Xenopus tropicalis: one gene and its partners. The protein of the gene in region 1 purifies or fractionates together with the protein of each later gene. This does not show direct contact. Links are inferred from orthologs where the notes say so. Each region holds a gene or a part of one and is shown in the gene's direction. Other genes may lie near its edges.

Region 1 (4,180 bases):
ATCTGTTTAGCTTATTAGTTACAATTGTATCTCAGTGCAGGTGGGGCTTTTTACCTTTCAGGGCTCTCTGCCAAAAACGATTTATTTAATTAAAAGCAAGAAACAAGTGCAGGTGACGCTCGTTAAGATTTCTGGCCTCTCTGCCAAAAGCCAATGCCAGACGTGGCGTTTGGCTTATATCTTTGGCAACCTGAAAATAGCGCCATACGCCTCCTTCCTGTGCCTGCACCTGAATGAATGATCCGCCAAAGATATGAAGTCTTGAGATTTTTGGCGGATATTGGCTACATGTGCCTGCACCTGAGCGTATTTAATTCATTCAGGAGCAGGCACAGGTAGGAGGCGTATGGCGCGATTTTTGGCAAGTGATTTTTCCTTGCTGAAAATCAGGGGCGGGCCGAGCCGACCGGGCGCCCTAGGCAACCCGGTTGGCCCCCTCTCCCCTACACCTGAGCTAATGCACCCCCAAGCCCCCGCCCCCCCGTTTTTGCCGAGCATGCGCAGTTCGCTGGGGGGGGGGGTTTGTGAAGCGATAGCCCCCGCCGAGTAATCACAAGCAGCGGGGGCAATGAAGGCTGCTTCAATAATTCAATGCAAAAACATATCACGTGAGCACTTACCGGTCAGCTCTGTTCATGCTCAGACGTGTTGCTGACACCCAGACAGCAAGGATCCATCGAAAAGCAAAATACACGGAGCAACTCCAAACATCGCTGCATAAAATCACCGTTTATTGTAATCACTTAAAATACATATGAGTGTCCCAAAAATGGGGATTATACGCTTGGCGCGTTTCGTGGCGTCACGCCACTTTCTCAAAAGCTGCATCTTAAGTGATTACAATAAACGGTGATTTTATGCAGCGATGTTTGGAGTTGCTCCGTGCATTTTGCTTTTCAATAATTCAATAACTTTGTAACGCTGCAACATTTTTAAAAACTATAAATTGTCAAAATGTTTGCCTAGACTTTATATTTTCAAGATGATAAAAACATTTTTCATGACTGTTCCCTGTTAATTATAAGAAAGAGGTATCAGGGAAAGATAAAAAGCTTGTCAGACCACTCAAAATGACACAGAGTCCCCTAAACCCATAGGGGCGCAGCTTGGAGAACATTAGCGTCACATATCCAGCTAAACTTCCCACTGAATGTCAGTCTCGGCCCAGCCTATGAAATCAGTGGGCGTGGCTTCTGGGGAAATACTCGCTCCCTGAGATCTCGCGAGAGCCAGCGTGTGGGCGCGCTCGGCCGGAAGTGGAGTGGGAGAGTTTCGTGCCTGTGTTCTCCGTGCTTATATTGAGAAGCCGCTGCTGCTGCCCGGGCTGGAGATTTGTGTCTCCATCCCCCGGCCAACATGAGCTTCCTCTTGTGAGTCTTGGGGGGGCTAAAATTGCGAGAGGGAAGACGAGGAATGGATAAGTAGGGGGGGAAGGAAGTAAGGGGAGGCCCCGACTCCGTGGGAAGGGAGTTTATAGCGAAGCGGAAAAGACATCGCTTCAACTTACTTTTTATTGTATCCTACCGGATTGACTCCCGCTGTTGTGCTACAACTCTTACAAAGCGGAAGAGGGGAATGTTGGGGGTGTATTTGTTGTTATTTACACAGGGCTGACATTCTGCTGCACTTTGTAGACGTCAGCCCCTTTGTAATGGGAGCTCCTCACGCAGGGAGCCTGGCAGTTGCACACAGGAGTTGCACACATCAGCTGGCTATATGCATAGAGCAATGGGGGTGACAGTGTAGCTGCGATGTAAGGGCAAGCATGGGCTGGCAAGCTCTGGATTGTGGCCAGCTGCTGCTGCACAGACAGTCACTATTGGTTGGGCTGTTTGGGACTCCTGTACTTGAACTGACAAGTCCTGTTTCCAACCCCAGGCCAGGCAGGGTGCTGTTAGTAGACAGGGTTTAAACTGGATATTTACAGATGTCTAAATAAATATCTGGAAAGGATGACGCTTTCTAAACTTTCCTCCCCAGCAGCAGTCGATCCTCAAAAACCTTTAAACCAAAGAAGAACATCCCAGAGGGGTCGCACCAGTACGAGCTGCTGAAGCATGCGGAGGCTACGCTCGGGAGCGGCAACCTTAGGCAAGCGGTAATGCTGCCCGAGGGGGAGGATCTCAATGAGTGGATTGCAGTTAATAGTAAGTGTAGAGAGTAATGGCAGCTTCTCTTTGCCCAGTCTTCATAAATGACCCCCCGCTGATGCCGCAGGCTGTGTATATGTATATATTTTTTTTTTATATTGGGCAATTTTTGATCTACGAAGTTGATTTCATTGTGGGTTCACAAAGATTACCTTACTAAATTGAGGGAAAAATTAGTGTTTCCAGCTTGGCACCGAGTAAAGGGGTTAATAAAGAGGTTATTGTGTAGTCACCATGCGTAAGATGTACAAGGTTTATAATGTTACAAGGAGATTTTTTTCTTCAAATGTTTAGTTGACTTTTTTTTTTTTTTCCCTGAGGACATTATTTTAGAGGAGACAATGTTTGGACAAGAGCTTTCATGCATGTTAAACAAACCTGTGCAAATATTCCTATTACCAGTTTAACAACTAGTTTTATTTGGTACTGTCATGGCCCCAAGCGGATCAGTAAGGGTAGGTAAGAGGGTCAGCAAGTGAGTGGTTTTCTGTTGATAGATTTGCTAGTTACTGACATTATGTAGCATGCCATGGAACTGAACTGTGGTTGCATGCCTTAGTCTTAACTCACACCAAGAGTCCATCACCAGCCATAAGGAGTCTTTTTGCCCATTTATAGTAACATGATTTGTAGAAGTATAAGGGAGTTTTAAAGGGGCTTTCATAACGTAGATTTAGATTGTAAGCTCTATGGAGCAGGGACCTCCATCCTCTTGTCTCTGTAATTCTTAACTTATTGAAACTGTACCTTGTATTTATTGTTATACTTTGTCTTTATTATTATTTTAACTCCCTGTTGTATAAACATACATACGATGTAACACCCACCTTTTAGTATTCTTTTTTTAATCTGTTATTTGTATAATTTATATGTTTTTGGTTTCTAATGAAATTGACAATATTGCTTGTGTAATTTGGGTAGGGAAGTTAGTTTATAAGCTCTAGTGGTGTTAAGACATTGTGTTAATTATTAATCACCCAACAGTACATCTTGTTAGACAATTGTAGTCTTGAAATGGTGAACTGTATGTTTCCAGACTTATTGCCACAGATAAACTACTTTGTGTGTACAGGTATAGGACCTGTTATCCTGAATGCTCTGGACCCGGGGCTTTCCGGATAAGGGATCTTTCTGTAATTTGGATCACCACATCTTAGTCTACTAAAAAATCATTTAAACCCAATAGGATTGTTTTGGCTGCAATAAGGATGCAATATATCTTAGTTGGGCTCAAGTACAAGGTACTGTTTTATTATTGCAGAGAAAAAGGAAATCATTTTTAAAAAATTTGAATTGTTTTCTTATAATGGAGTCTATGGGAGATGGCCTTTCTGTAATTTGCAACTTTCTGGATAACGGGGTTTCCGGATAATGAATCCCATACCTGTATTACATATTGAGGAAACGGTAAACACCATATTCTGGTGCTGGTAAAATAAAATATTTTAATATCTGTAATACAGTTAGGCCTATGGCACATTGGGCGATTGTCTGGATCGTTTATAGCTAGTAAAATACTAGGCAGACAGTCTAGTTGTTTTCCCATATGCTGTTGGCCTTATGTGTTGCTTTACACAGAAACAGCTTAGCTGTATTGGTTGTGAATTCCCCTTGATAAAGTTTTTACGCCAGAACTTCATGGTAATCCACATTTTTCTGGTCAGGGTGTCTGCTTCCTTCTTCACTTGTTTGCCTGCATTGCATTTTACTGTTATGTATTAAACTCTTAGGTGCTGCTTTTAGATTGCACTGCCTTATTATATTGCCTCTACTGTTGTGACTGTTAGCTTTGATGGTATTGTGTATTTTTTGCTATTTTTTTCTGCTTAATGTATTTTGTGTGCAAGTCCAATATGTGTAAATAGGGGTATTGGATGTGTTGTAAAGAAAATATAGATTACGTTTATCCGCAAAAATATAATTAAAAGTTAGCCAGTATCACAATTAGCTTTTGCTTGCCAGTTGCCTTAGGCATTCTACATTACTAATATTTTGTAAAATTTGTAATAGAGAGCCATAAATGCTATTTG
Region 2 (3,654 bases), on another chromosome or scaffold:
TCTGCTCTTGTATATGTTCTCCCCGTGCCCCATAGTGTGTGACTGTGACAAGGACCTCTGCCTCTGAGGCAGGGACTGATGGGAATGGAATGATAATTTTTGCAACAGTGCTGCGTAAATGAACATAATGAACAAGTAAACCTCTTGTACACTCAACAGGCAGGTATTTTGCCATTTTTAACACACAAAGCACTGCGTGTACCAGGAAATGACTGCGTTGCTTCCTGTCCATGTCTGTGGCAGTGATCTAGGACCAGGAGCATGCACACCAGAAGCAACAGATTGGCTTCTACTACACATGCTCCTGTTAAGTGATCAGTGCCTGGGAGCCAGGGGCAGGACACAATGCAACCAGACATGGCAGCTGCCAACCCAGATACACCTTTCTGCCTCTTCTGCTCAGGTAGGGAGAGTCTGGTTGGGCAGAGGGGTCTGTGCAGGGGTTTTTTGCTTACATCATGGGCTAAGATTCTTTTTAAGTGCCTAATTATAAAAGTCCACCATATATCCTCCGACCTCAGATTTACAGCCTTAGTACGGTGATGTTTAAGTTTTCCCATCGAGCATATTAATTATCCACTCAAAACTAATTAGGCCCCAATATATAATGATATAATATAAAAAGGGTAGTTTTAACATTACTGTTTACATGACCATTTACAGTGGAGCCAGTTGCCTTTTATATAATTAATAGCTGTTTTCCTGCAGTTTTCTATAGCTGTAATATCACTCTCCAAAAAAAATAAATAAAAAAAACAGCCTTGACATATACAGTGTATATGATTTTAAAATGTACCTTTTTTTTGTACACCCTTTACTGCTTCTTTGTTTCTTGCTCTAACCGCAATCCGTTTACTTTTCCAGGTCATACATTGGGAGAACACCCTTCACATTCCTTCCCAGATCAACCTGAGTCCCGAGGCGACCAATCTGATCACAGCGTTGTGCTGCGGGGCTGAAGACAGACTTGGAAGAAATGGGCCAGATGAAATTAAGGCCCACCCCTTCTTTATCTCAATGGATTTTTCTTCTGATATTAGACATCAACCAGCACCTTATGTTCCGAAAATCAGTCACCCAATGGATACCTCTAATTTTGACCCGGTGGAGGAGGAAAATCCATGCAATGACAGTGGAGACAGCACTGTGACCTGGGACACTCTTATGAGTTCAGGAAACAAACACACCGAGCATGCCTTTTATGAGTTCACTTTCCGACGGTTCTTCGATGATCATGGCTACCCCTTTCGGTATCCCAAGCCTTCCAAATTAGAGACCTCGTCGTGCGAGGAAACCGAGGAGGAAGATAAAAATGCCTCCAGGGAGTCAGAAGGCTGCCAGCCTGTGTATGTGTGAGAGCTCAGAATGGATATTATGCTCACACTGAATTACCCTCACGTTGTTGAAGGTGCTTGGCTCTTCCGGTGGAATATTATATTTTAGCCATGACCATTACTGGTGCCTTAAATTCATGCCTTGCCTGTGTGTTTCTAGGGCTCATTTGAAGATGCTCTTTGATAACAAGGCTCAAAAGCCTTCTCATAGCAGAAGGGGTTAACATATGTCAGTTTTAGTGGTGCAATATCATAAGTACTGCAGAAGTATTAAAGAATAAAGTGTTCGGTGGAGTATGTTTCCTGTGGTGCACGTGTGTGCGCGCAGGTACAGATGAACACTCCCTCATCATTAGAAATGTAAACTCATTGTCAAATATGCACAAAGACAGGACATCTGAATTCCTCACTGATAAACCAAAGCAAATCAGTCTGCGTTTGGGTGGTGGAGATGGACTCGCTTCCTTTGGGTGGAGTGGAATTCTGGGAATTCTTAGCTGGTCACACAAAAGCACTACAGTACCGCGTAACAGATAGCTGCACAGCTACAGAGAGACAAGCATGTCACGTTGTTATCAGGGGCATGTAAATACTGTCCCCTTCCCGTGCTTGCATGTTCTGCACGTTGCTCTTTTACTCCTTCAGGTTGTGAGGATGTTCCTCAGTCTCAATGGACTTAACCCCCTGCACCAGGACAGGTAATGGTGTATTTGGGATCTATCATTGACTCTCTCCAGCCAGATCCTTATTATCTGTGCTGGGAATATTAAGAGAGATGCATTTCCAACCAGCAAAGTGGTTTTTCTACAGGCTATGAGTTGGGCAGCAAGAAAAGCTTTCGCCATGAACTGGATCTTTGGATCTGTGGTTTTCCAGACTCTTCCAGATTTTATTCCATGTTGGTTGAGATAACTCGCTCTAATAGTGCTTTTTCTCAGCAATAACCTAATAATAATAGAAAGCACTTTTCTAATACCCATATTTCTACCATCTACATGGAAATGTAACTTTGAAACAAACATCCTCGTCAACTGAACATTTGATATTCACATCAGCACTTAATTCTACAGTAGAAGATGAACATATGGGCCTTTTAGGCTTAAGCCCTTCAGAACTACTAGTTATTATTATGCAAAGCAATATACAGGGCAAGGGCAACATGTAAAGAACAAAATGGATTCCTGAAAAATGTATGGCTCTTCCTTGTACTGTAGATTAAGCTAGCAGGTCATTGTTATTAAGGGGAAACTGGCCTGGCTATAAACATATACACAAACTTTAGTGAATGTTTAATGTATGACAAATAGGTTTTATTTTTTGAGTTGTTAATTGCTGTTGGTTCGGCCCCTCCAAACTGAGCAGCTTATTGGTCCTTTTTTCGCATGCCCAATCAATATCCGGTAAAAAAAAAAAAAAAAAAAAGATATTTATTGGGCAGGTCTGAAAATCCCATTATATGAGAACCACATTGATGTGCTAACAGTCCTCACACAACAGCAAACAAGCTCGAGATGTATGTCTAGCAAGGCTGGAGCAGATTTTAGCACTGAAATGTGCAAATATGCATTTCGCTACTGAAATCTGCTCCATGTGGCCCGCCCTGGGCTGTTGCAATGGCTCCGGGTGCAGGGACAGGCTGATGCCAGCATAGAGCTTGGTTCTCGACTTGTCTTTATCCGCAGGCCAAGAATCTGTCCCGTCTGGCATTAGCCTAGCTCACACTGACTGGGCATTCCAAACCATCCGTGCTGGACAATATCGTTAGACCAAAAAGTCAGTCTGTGACCTATTGCAGTAGGAAATAAGGTAAAAAAAAAAAATCACAAAACAATAAATATCTGGGAAAAAGCTTAAAAAAGTGATACTGATTAAACATCTACTACAGTTTAGTACCCTTTAATAAGATCCAGCTTTTTTGGGATTGTTGGCCTTATATATTAACTTTAATGTAGGCAGATACTAAAAGAGTCAGTTTGCAATTGGTCTTCAGTTTTTATTGTTTGGATTTATGTCCAGCAGCTTTCCAGTGTGGAACCTAGCTGCTAGGGTCCACTTTACCATAGGAACCAGTCAGTGGTTGGAATGAGATGAATAGAAGAGGGACTAAATAGAACCATAAGTAATAAAAGGTAACACAAGTGTAGCCTCATACAGCAATAGGTTTTTGGCTTCCAGAGTCAGCAACCCACAACAGCATATTAAATTGCAAGCTGGAAACAGGCCAATGAGAGAGGCAAATAATTCATTAACTATAACATGCTAAAAGGTAATTGAAGAATGGAGACTAATGTCACAGGGGGTTGATTCTTGGGCAGTGGAT
Region 3 (3,654 bases), on another chromosome or scaffold:
TTAGTAAATCAGCCCCTAAGTGTAGTTATTCTGTGAAGCATTCATGGTGTTTCCTGTAGAAAGCAAGCTGTTGTGTGACATTGATTACTTATTGCTTACATCTTTGCCACAGACATCTGTTCATAGAAGAAGGCATTACATTGTGTATACCATTTGGTTCCTTTTTCAGATTATAGTTGAGCAAAGTTGTTGCAAAAAAACAGTTTCTGTTTGTGACAGACCAAAGAGATATACTTTATGCTAGCATACTAAATTCTATATCCGCTTTAGAATGAAGCAGTGGAATCATTTTGGTTTAATATGGGTTATAGTGTATTTTTTTATTGGAAACCACACAGTCAAGGAAGCTATTTTGTGAAGGACAAATTACCATTTAATGGGGTTGTGTGACTGCTTGGGTTTACAAAGCACTTACTTTTGAAGTAGAAGTTTCTAATTATGCTTTACTCCTGAAGGAAGAATAAATGGTCAAACTATAAACCAGTTCAATATCCAACAGCAACTAATCAGACGCTTGCTTTCATTATTCTAATTGGTTACTGGAATAGAGGACTGTTTTGACCTCTTGTTGTTTTCACGGCCCAAAGCTGTTAAGGATAATGTGCCTATAATTCCAAAATCAATACTAATTAATATATAAAAGCAAATACTGGAAAAATAAAGCTATCGTTTCACTGCTAGTAAAGTAATGAACTAAAAAAAGCTAATTTTACTTCATGTCAGCTCTGTCTGCAGTGATGGAGAATGGTCTACATGCTTGCCTTCATATTTTTCTTCGGACAAAGACCATTCGTCAAGTGATGATAGCTGGGAAACACTGCCTGGAAAAGATGAACACGAAGTTCTTAGTAACAGCAGTAGTCTGGAAGAAGAAAATTCTGACTTTTGTTTTCAAGTAGAGTATGTATTCTTCATTTTTTTTTTAATGAATATTTATGTAATGTTGTAATCGTTTTTATATGGATAATGATTTTTCTGAAAGCCAAACAGCAATGTTAGAGCAATCCTGGAAAAACCATTAGTGTTATAATCACTACACACAACCAGGATACTGCTCTAAAACATATTAACCTTTTTTAAACTGTTGAAGTTGATTTTTGTGTTAATTAGATGGTATAAATGGACACTACCATGAACATGAAAAAAAATCTTATTTAATAGTATAGGGATGGTATTAGCCAACACCATCATAAAACTGTGTTTTTTTAATGGTTTGCTTAAGGTGTGAAATGCAGGTGCAAGAAAAATATTTAAAACATTGAAATTTATAACAATGGAGTATTTGACTGCTAATCATCCCTCATACAGCATGTTGTATGAAATCTATTTGTGTTGTAAGGAGGATTTGACATTCTTTCAGCAGAATAGCTTCCTTCTACTTCTTTATGTCTCAGTAAGAATATGGATATTGCCTTTGCTACAGGATTTGTTAAACATTGTCTTAATGTTCCCTTTACCAAAATAAAACACTGCTATAGAGGAATTATCATTTTCATAGCATCTGTTGCTAGTAAAGTGCTTTTGATGCACATGATTGCTTAATATGTCAACATAGTTAAATGTTTTAACCGCACTGTGAAAGGTGATAATAGGACCCAATCATATTCCTATCAGACATCCATCTCCATATTTAGCTGTTGGTGCTGGGCACGGCAGATTGTAGGCTTCTTTAGACATTATTCAATTTGTAAAGCAATATTTTGTCTTACCACAAGACCTGTTTCAAAGCATTACATTTAAAACATTATTTGATCATTATACTTTTGCATTTAGGTGGGGGTTTTTTTATAGGTTTTAGGTTTGAAAAGCTCTTGTCCAATAGCTCTTGTATTTTTCACATGAGTATTGCAATTTATGACAAATGTTTTTATAAAGTGAATTTCTTTAAGTTAACATTTTAAAGCACAATTCTTCCCAAATGCTATTATAACGAAGGGCACAGTTTTTCTGGTTACAGAGTAATATTTTTTTGTCATGGCCTCTGGGGATTTGTCATTTTAGGAATTTAGACAAGTCTGCTTTAAAAATAGTGAACTAAAAATAGTTTACAAATACAAAACATTGTGACTCTATATCGCATAAGTGACACAATCGATCTAAAGTTACAGTAGACATAGTGAAATGTCTGTACTGTACACCAGATTGTTTACATATTTTGCCTTCCCGCTGAATATCAGTCTTTTATTGCACCTTTTAATTCAGTTACAAAGATTATCAGAAATATAGTCCATACAGGGTCCATGGTCCAGAAAAGTCAATACTTGGACTGACTTGAGATCCTGGAACAAAAACAAGAGGAGTCAGTCACAGTCCATAGAGCATACAATTTCTTTCTGAAGCTGGCCTTACTCAGATTTAAGTCTTCTTCCGAAGAACGTTTGTATGTTTACATGCAACAATCTAAAACTAACATTCAGATTAAAATTGTAGACTAAAGTACTAAAAATAACAAATAAGTGGATGTTCTGAACATAAAATAATTAGCAGATAATAATCGCATGAAAGTGACGGTCCAGAAATGCATTGTAGGTCACCCAAGGATATCGTCAGATACACAATACATGCAGAGATTTTATCGTTAAATGAACAAAATTTTCTAACCTGTCCAGTCAGCTGAACAACGATTAAACACCACAGTCCAAAAATCACACAAAATGTTGTTTAGTACAATTATATTAGTGTGTAAATGGCCAGCTTTAGAATACTCTGCAATGAAAATAATCAGGTAGAACAGTGAAAGCAAAAATCCTATTGGCTGCTGTGGGGTTACTGGCCAAATATGCCCAGTTTTTATAAATAAGTCCCAGTGAGTATTGGCAATGGCATATTTTAAAGCTGTTGGCTTTGTATTGCACAGTATTTGTGCATTTACAGTTCATTCAAGAGAAATTAAAGCACCTCTGACACACATGACTATTGTTTCCGTGTCTACGAGCCCTAAGGGTTTTTTTTTTTGTTCAAAGTTGATTTTTGTGACCATTCTTTGTTATTAAAAGTATCCAATGCCCTTTTTAGGGAACAAATTTCCTTGGAAGATGGAGAAATCCCTTGGTTGCAGTACCATGAGGATATTGAAAGCAGCACCGATGAAGAAAATGAAATAAGTAACCAGTTTGTGCATCCTGGATTTTTCATGTTAGATGGCAATAACAATTTGGAGGATGATTCAAGTATCAGTGAAGACCTGGAAGTTGAATGGAGGTAAGCCTAGAATTATATGCTCTCTGTTTGTAGAAAATCTTAAAGATTGTCATTGTTTAAATTGATTCTGGATAGGAAAACATATTTTTTACAAAATGCATGATTTAGTATCACTCCTCCAGCAGAATCCTGCATTGAAATCCATTTTTCCAAAGAGCAAACAGATTTTTGTTTCTATTTAATTTTGAAATTTTGACATGGGGCTAGACTTGTTCTTAGTTTTTCAGGTGCCCTCAGCCATGTGATTTGTGCGCTAATAAATTCTCTTTACTGCTTCACTGCCCCCCCAACTCCCCACCCCGCAGCCGATCATCAGAACAGTGGGAAAGTAGTAAGATAACAGCTTACTGACGTCTGAATTGCTAAAATGTCCCATGTCCCAACTAGTGGTATATATGAAAATAGCACTGAATAGTAAAACACCCAAGTCCTGCCATGACTCCTCCAATTACA

What was found.
Region 2: the proteins of mob1a (region 1) and lats2 purify together in Homo sapiens (affinity purification with western blotting; 9 studies listed by BioGRID and IntAct, with this or other methods). This does not show direct contact. The link is inferred for Xenopus tropicalis from reciprocal best matches to the Homo sapiens genes MOB1A and LATS2.
Region 3: the proteins of mob1a (region 1) and pja2 purify together in Homo sapiens (affinity purification with western blotting; 3 studies listed by BioGRID). This does not show direct contact. The link is inferred for Xenopus tropicalis from reciprocal best matches to the Homo sapiens genes MOB1A and PJA2.

Annotation. Positions count from the first base shown.
Region 1 is NC_030679.2:121,264,779-121,268,958, reverse strand, and holds the start of mob1a (MOB kinase activator 1A), read left to right. Parts: upstream 1-1,351; 5' UTR 1,352-1,356; coding exon 1,357-1,370; intron 1,371-1,980; coding exon 1,981-2,147; intron 2,148-4,180. UniProt on the Homo sapiens protein: Activator of LATS1/2 in the Hippo signaling pathway which plays a pivotal role in organ size control and tumor suppression by restricting proliferation and promoting apoptosis.
Region 2 is NC_030678.2:157,816,537-157,820,190, forward strand, and holds part of lats2 (serine/threonine-protein kinase LATS2), read left to right. Parts: intron 1-864; coding exon 865-1,356; 3' UTR 1,357-3,654. UniProt on the Homo sapiens protein: Negative regulator of YAP1 in the Hippo signaling pathway that plays a pivotal role in organ size control and tumor suppression by restricting proliferation and promoting apoptosis.
Region 3 is NC_030677.2:173,953,006-173,956,659, forward strand, and holds part of pja2 (E3 ubiquitin-protein ligase Praja-2), read left to right. Parts: intron 1-723; coding exon 724-900; intron 901-3,015; coding exon 3,016-3,201; intron 3,202-3,654.